Linked DNA regions of Danio rerio. The protein of the gene in region 1 purifies or fractionates together with the protein of each later gene. This does not show direct contact. Links are inferred from orthologs where the notes say so. Each region holds a gene or a part of one and is shown on either strand. Other genes may lie near its edges. The genes, in order: zrsr2 and sf3b1.

Region 1 (3,825 bases):
TCACAAAAATGCTATATATGAAGCAAGTGTCGACTCCCAATGAAGAACGTATCTTTTCATGTCATTTGTAGTAATGAGATTGCTTACTGATTCCACAGCAGAGAACATATTCGCTGTAAAATATTACAAAATGCTGTACAAATGATCTGCCAGATTGTCTTAACCAGTTCTAACAGACATGTACTTGCACACCACAGAATTTCACCCGCCATACTGTGTATGTTTGCACCATTTATAGGAAGCAGTACAGAAAATGCTGGATCAAGCAGAGAGTCAGGTAACTTCTTGATTCTTGTTATGATAAAAAAATGCAAGTTTTGTATTTGCTCTTCTCATGAAAAGCTATCTTTTGTTGCATTTAGCTGGAAAATGGGGGACCCTGGAAAAACCCAGATGCTCCAAAGGATTACGGAACTGAAAAGGACAAGGCAAACTGTCCATTCTTCCTAAAAACTGGTGCTTGTAGATTTGGAGACCGGTAATTATTTATTACACGACTATATCACAAAGTGTTGACAGTCGAAATGAAATTTCCTGGTCAGGATTATGACGGATAGTTCACCCAAAAATGAAAGTGGTTCTTTATTCTGTTGAACACAAAAAATAATATTTTGAAGAAAGCTGAATTCTTATAACCATTGACTTCCATAGTATTACGTTTTCATACTATGGAAGTCAAAAGGTTTTCAGCTTTCTTCAAAATCTTTTTTTTGTGTGTTTGTTCAACAGAAAAAAGAAACTTAAACCAGTGTGGAACAAGTAAACAAGAGAATTTTCAGTTTTGGATAAATCCTGCAATAAATGTATTGTTCATTCATGTTAGTAAATACATTATGTAACGTTAACTAATGGAAACCTTTTGAAAAGTGTTGCTCAATAGCCTCCCTCACAAGTTCTAATCTAATGACAAACTTTCTAATGTAATATAGCAGTGTTTCTCAACTGGTGGGTCGGGTCGCGGGATCATTTTCAGTGGGTCGCGGAGTGTGTGGAAAAAAAAAAACAACAAAAATAAAGTTTTTAACTTATTTTGACTTTTATTTTGAAATGCGTGCATGATAACCCTATCGTTTGACGTGAAATTTCATTTAAATATAGCAACAAATATGTCAAAAATACATATATTGAGGACAAAAAAGACTTAAAGCCTCAGTGTGTCATAAGTAGCGAGGTGCTCTCACAAGAGAGCATGAAACCTTTTAAATTAAGATGACGTTTAGAAACCAGAAATTTTTTATTAACAGTTTAGTTTAGTTCATGGTAACTGAACCTTTCCTTACCCTAACCACAGTATTTGTCGTTTTTACTTTGTAATATTTCTATAATTTGATCCATTTTGTTAAATGAAAGCAAAATATTGTTTATTTGTAAGCCTTTGTGATTTTCTTATGATTTATCTGTCACTACATGTGTATTTTAACAAATAATTAAAAATTAATTATAATTCCTAAAATTGTATTATAGTTCCTAAAAATTTGGTTCGTGGCTTGATGACCATGTAAAAATTTGGGTTCCATGGTCAAACCAGTTGAGAACCCCTGTAATATAGCACAAACACCTATTTGTCATTGTAATAATATACAATACTAGTTTTAGGGGAACTATCCGTTTAAGATGATGACTTTTTTTAATACTCTTTAATAAACAGGTGCTCTCGAAAACATGACCACCCAGCATCCAGCTGCACTCTGATGGTGAGGGGGATGTTTGTGTCATTCGGGATGGAGCAGAGCAGACGTGATGACTACGACACCGATGCCAGTCTGGAGTACAGTGAGGAGGAGTTGCACCAGCAGTTTCTGGATTTCTATGAAGACGCTCTGCCAGAGTTCAAGAACGCAGGGAGAGTGGTGCAGTTCAAGGTAACTCAAATAAAAGCCTGAAAAACCTTCAACAAATAAAATCTCTCTTTATTTAGATGTTTCTTTAGATTTATCTCGTATGAAAGTCGTATTTTTTATTCTATCAGCTGCAGAAATGTAAATAAATATGTATATTTTTGTAAAATTAAATTGACAATGATTATTATTTGGCCATATTTTAATAGGTGAGCTGCAACTTTGAGCCTCACTTAAGAGGAAACGTTTACGTTCAGTATGAGACGTAAGTTCAGCATTATTATTTTGGAGATTTTTTTTGACAGCAGATTTATAAATGTACGTATATTTGGATATCTTTGTTTATATCCTGCAGAGAGGAGCAATGCAAAGAAGCTTTTGTGATGTTTAATGGTCGCTGGTATGCTGGAAGACAACTGCAATGTGAATTCTCCCCTGTGACTAGATGGAAAACGGCCATATGTGGTAAGGAAAATATTAGTAAGTCACACTTACAATAAGGTTCCATTAGTTAATGTATTTACATGAATTTACATAAAAACATGAATATTAAACAATATTTAGGCATTTATTAATTGTAGTTTGTGTTGAATTCAACATTTTATGACTCGTTTCCACTGATTGGTACAGTACGGTACGGTTTAGGTCGGTACGGGTCATCTTTATCAGGCTTGCGTTTACACTAAAAAGGGTACCCTTTTGGTGGGTGTGGTGTATGACAGTTTCAGTCGATGTAATTTTCGCTCGAGAAAATGTCTATAATACAGCTGAACAGGTCGTTCACGAATCATATGAAAGCAGACGCTTTTTACACATAAATACTTGTGTATAAATGTTTATTGCTAACTTTTCTATAAACAGGATTTGATCAATGACAGTGCGAAATAGCCTACTGTAACGTCTGCAATTATATTAAATAAATAAATGCCACATATATGAACACATACAGCCCCTTACAGTCTCCGAAATGTTACCAACTACAGAAGAACTACACACAGCAGACATTTAGTGCTTATTTAGGTTCAAAAACAAAACAAAATATAGCCTACAGTCAGTGAAAACCTCTCATCAGTATCTTTAATCTCCAGCAGCACATGTAGCCTCTGTTAGATAGTAATTCCATGATTCCGAGGTTATATTAGTCCAAAAGGTAATGATAATAGTTAAACATGGCAGTTTGGTCACGTTTGCTGAAAAATGATGTGCTCCTTTTTTTCCGGCTTCACTCTCGCGTTTGTCAGTTTCTGACAGGATCGGGTTTAAAAAGCATGTCAATAATCAAGCACACGTTGTTATCATTAGCTCAAGAAGTTTGTTGTTTCAGATATAGATGTGTGGTGAGCGCAAGCAGGCAAGTGAAACCACTCACGGTTCAGACTGTCTCGTAAAAAAAACTACAGGGCACATGGTAAATCTGCTCTTTTTTTTTGGCATTGTGGCTGTGCATCAAAACAACGACAAGGTTTGTTTGAGCGCAGGTCGACCATGGCTCATTGTTTTATGTATATATACGTTCACGCTGTAACAAATCTCTCGGCTGTGTATTTTAAACATGTCGGCTCTTTTGTTTTTATTCTGGCTTGTTGAGTAAACGAATGACGTATCTCTGTAAACCAATAGCGTTCAGCTGCGCGTCTAGTGGCTCGTTTCCACTGACTGGTACAGTACAGTACAGGTCACCTTTATCAGGCATGCGTTTCCACCACAAAGGGTACCCTTTTTGGTGGGTGTGGTGTATGACAAAGTTTAAGTCGACATCATGCTTGCTCGAATAAATGTCTACAGTAAGGCTGTACGGGTCGTTCACATATCATGAGCAGCACTTCTCACAAAACAGATGTTTTATACACATAAATACTTGTTTATAAATGTTTATCACTAACTTTTCTATGGACAGGAGTTGATTATAACTGCAGATCAATGACTGTGCAAAATAGGCTACTGTAACGTCTGTAATTCTATAAAATAAATACATAAATGCAACGTA
Region 2 (3,825 bases), on another chromosome or scaffold:
GTTCAAATGTGCTCTGTAGATTTTCATAATATGATACTTTTATAACACATACTTTGTATCCCTCTGGAAACATTGCATCAAGTTCCTCATCAGTCAATGGACGGTTCCTTTCATCAATCTCCCGCTCCCACCGCCAAGCCTGCAGCTGTTCTGGAGTCATGCTCATCAGGTGACCTGCAAACATTTAAACCTTTAAAGCAACTTCCACAAAACAACAATTATTTAAATTACAAACTAAACTAAGCTAAACAACAGCACTGGTCATGTACCTGGAGTGGGCGTGGCCATATTCATAGCAGGTGTACCCAGAGGGGTTTTTCCAGGGGTGAGCAGGGGAGTTGAAGAGCCCATTTGGCTGGCTGGTGTTTCATCCCATCTTGACTTCCTCTTGCTTGCACCTGGAGTGGGCGTCTCACCCACCGACTCGTCTCCTCTGTCTGTACGTGGGGTTTCAGCCCAGCCACTGCCATGACCAGGTGTTTCTGAAACGGACAAAACAAAGGGTTTAAAAACCACTCTATTTGCAGATTACACATCAAACTAGACAAAAAAAAACTATTAAAGACCTCTCTCTGTCTTTGGTGTCTCATCCCAGCGGTTCTTGCGCACACTGGAAGTGGCCCCTCCATGGCCTGGCGTAGCATGTCCAGGTGTGTCTCGGCCTGGTGTGGCAGCTCCTGCTGGGGTGTGGCTAGGTGTGGGTTCCCACATACGAGTGCTAGGAGTGGCTCCTGGGGTTTCACTACCTTTGGGACGGCCAGGGGTCTCATCCCAACGACTGTTGGAGGGTGTGTGCCCTGGTGTGTGTCCTGGTGTCTAAGTAACAAAATAAAAATCTCACAGCATTATAAAAATTCTTAAGTGGCATTGTAATGCTTTATTTCTAATCCATGGCTCTTAATCAGGAGGACACAGACAAATTAGGGGGATTCTACAAACATCCAAAGGGGCCTGATCATTACTTTACTAGAGAAATTCACCCCTAAACAATAGTTTTCCTCACTGGAGAACATGGGTCCCGTAGGGTCCTCAAGACTTTTCCTAAACAACTTTTTGAATTATACTATAATTTCGAATTATACTACACAAATAAAAAGCAATAGTTTTTTTTTTGTATTATAGGATATTTACACATTTACTTTTTTGTATATCAGCATCTACTTAAATATTGACTTTTTCATAGTCTTCCAAGCAGATCAGATACATAAAATCTGTCTTTGTATGAATTTGTAATTATTTTTCATGAAAATCTGAACAATCAAAATATCCATTTGCTGCAGACCAAATGTTGTTATCGACTCACTTCAGAACCTCCGTCTGCTTGGTCCCAACTGGACACTTTTTTGGGTGTTGAGTTGCTGGGGGTTTGATCAGCAGTCTGGTCCCAGCGACGTTTACGTTTGGCCGCGGCCTGAGATGCAGCGGAGCCATTCACTGCTTTCAGCTCTCCAGCTTTTGCTTTCTCTACCATCTGTAGTCTGATCTCTCTCTGTAAACCAAGAGAAACAGTGACAGTTTAAGACACTTGTGACTTTTTTTTTTCAGTAGCATCTTACAGACATTTCACCAAAGTGCTAGAACTTACCTCTTCTTTGGAAAGTTGCTGCTCCTTCATAACATCCATGTACGTCCTGACCTGCACCTTGGGATCCGGTGTTTTACCCCCTAGGCGAAAGAGCACCAACAAGATGCGAAACGGTCAGCCAAGTGCATCTCAAAACCAGCATTTTCACACACAAAGCACTACAGTCAAGTGTCCCTGAATAGATGGCCTTTAATGTTTAAATTACTGTCCTCTCATAACACAAAAGAACCCTATGCAATAAAAGCTAAGCACTCATTACAGTCAAACATTAAGAACAGGCAGGTACAAAGAGGTTTCTGTTGCTTTTAAGAGGAGATAAGGAGAGGATATAGCCATCACTGATGCAGGGTCCTGGGCTGTGCTCTCCAGAATACGTACACTTTCAGTGCCAAGGGTCCCTCTGCAGTCAGACTTCAACCGGCAGAAAAGAAGCCTAGAAAATTTCTCTTTACCATTAGTAACACTTTGGAAAAGGGTTTGTACTCACACACAAAATAGCATACCACCTATTCTGCTCGTCACTCATTTACAAACAAGAAAAGGGGAAAACCATGTAGTATTCAAAAACCGACTTAAAAATCATATACATTTAATAAACTATAGGTGTTACAGTCAAAGACACTGAACACATTGGGGAGTTCTAATCAAATCAGAAAAGAAACAAAATATCAGAAACTAATCAATGACTTAAAGCACACTTGTGTGCATCTGGTTAGATTAAATAAAATTTAAACTAAGATGAATTTGTCTAAAAGTAAGTTGAAATGAAAAAAGTGAATATGGAATTTAAAAAAAGTCCCCGATGAGGCTTTAAAAATAATGTGAAACATAACAAAAGTAAAACTAAATCAATAAAATAGCTTGATGAAATCATGGTGCATTCCCCCGAAAGGCTCTCTGGCCTCACATCAGAGCAAAAACTACTAACTATGGTCTTGATTTATCTGATAAACACGCTTCTTTTTGTTGACCATAACCTACACAGGACGAGTTGCTGCACCCTTAAGAGAGTGCAGACAGGACTGGCATAGCAGTACTGCTGTAGGAGAGAAATTAAGGACAGTTAGTATGGGCCTGTGGAATCTTGGTACACAGATTCTTCAATAGATATATCTCTATTTTATCATTATAAAATAGAAATATATTTACACAACAGTTTTTGTAAAGCTTCCTCTGTCTGGGACTACATGCAAGATGATTTGCCTGATCCAGAATTATTGCCCTCCCATAATTTGGTCCCAAGTGAGTCAGTTTTGTGAGTGTGCAGCCTGTTTAAACATGATCTAAACTTCTTGTAAAATTGTACTGGTATGAGCACCCACAGGCCATCGGTTTTAAGATACTAAATTATCTGGACAACATAAATGGAGTTAAATTTGGCTTCACAGGGCTTTAAAGCTCCACTCTTATTGGGAATCATTACTGACATTGACACATCAGGGGTGTCTAACCATTGAAAAATATGCAGGCAATAGTATGGGGGGAAAAATAAATCTGACAGTATGCTGTCTCTGGCAATTAGAAACTTTTCATATACTACACAGTGTCTGTGTTTAAGTTGCCTGACTACTGTATCATCTGTTTCACACATTAAAAACATTAACCCTTCGAACAACACACCTACCTGCAACCTATGCCATGATGGGACCAATGACACCACCCAACCGTCTCCCAAAATCTTTGCTGCCCAACTTAAACAAGTACACATATAAATCCATCATCAATATTTTTCAGTACATTTCATTTATCCACTTATGCCTTACTGAGACAGTCTTAAAAGGGATATTTCACCCAAAAATTATGTTTTGAATGACTTGTTTCAAACCTTTATTTTGAAAAACATTAGAAACCTGCAACCCTTGACTTACATAGTGTTTGTTTTTCCAACTATGGAAGTCAATGGTTACAGATTCTCAGCTTTCTTCAAAATATCATCTTGTGTGTTCTAGAGAAAAAAAATCTTTGAAACCTCTTGAGGGTGAGTAAATAGTAAGAAAGTTTTCATTTTGGCGTGAACTATCCCTTTAAGGCCCTGATATTGCTTAAATGAAATTGAAGAACAAAGAACTCAAAACTACTTTCGAATAAAATCTTAAGTTCGTTTGAAGTTGCAACACTGGCACTGTTGTTTGTCACGTTTAATACTGTAAAGCCGCTTCCTTTAAAATGATTTAATGTATAAACAGATATACAGTAAATCTTTTGATTGAACTGTAAATCCCATATAAATATCCTCATTA

The links.
Region 2: the proteins of zrsr2 (region 1) and sf3b1 purify together in Homo sapiens (affinity purification with mass spectrometry; 3 studies listed by BioGRID and IntAct, counting the BioPlex papers as one, with this or other methods). This does not show direct contact. The link is inferred for Danio rerio from reciprocal best matches to the Homo sapiens genes ZRSR2 and SF3B1.

The regions. Positions count from the first base shown.
Region 1 is NC_133186.1:13,226,946-13,230,770, reverse strand, and holds part of zrsr2 (U2 small nuclear ribonucleoprotein auxiliary factor 35 kDa subunit-related protein 2), read left to right. Parts: intron 1-4; exon of another isoform or gene 5-48; intron 49-176; exon of another isoform or gene 177-238; coding exon 239-277; intron 278-362; coding exon 363-478; intron 479-1,648; coding exon 1,649-1,862; intron 1,863-2,047; coding exon 2,048-2,103; intron 2,104-2,193; coding exon 2,194-2,303; intron 2,304-3,825. UniProt on the Homo sapiens protein: Pre-mRNA-binding protein required for splicing of both U2- and U12-type introns. Selectively interacts with the 3'-splice site of U2- and U12-type pre-mRNAs and promotes different steps in U2 and U12 intron splicing.
Region 2 is NC_133184.1:33,850,539-33,854,363, forward strand, and holds part of sf3b1 (splicing factor 3B subunit 1), read right to left. Parts: intron 2,625-3,825; exon of another isoform or gene 2,567-2,624; intron 2,019-2,566; exon of another isoform or gene 1,964-2,018; intron 1,666-1,963; coding exon 1,586-1,665; intron 1,490-1,585; coding exon 1,304-1,489; intron 817-1,303; coding exon 567-816; intron 483-566; coding exon 270-482; intron 175-269; coding exon 53-174; intron 1-52. UniProt on the Homo sapiens protein: Component of the 17S U2 SnRNP complex of the spliceosome, a large ribonucleoprotein complex that removes introns from transcribed pre-mRNAs.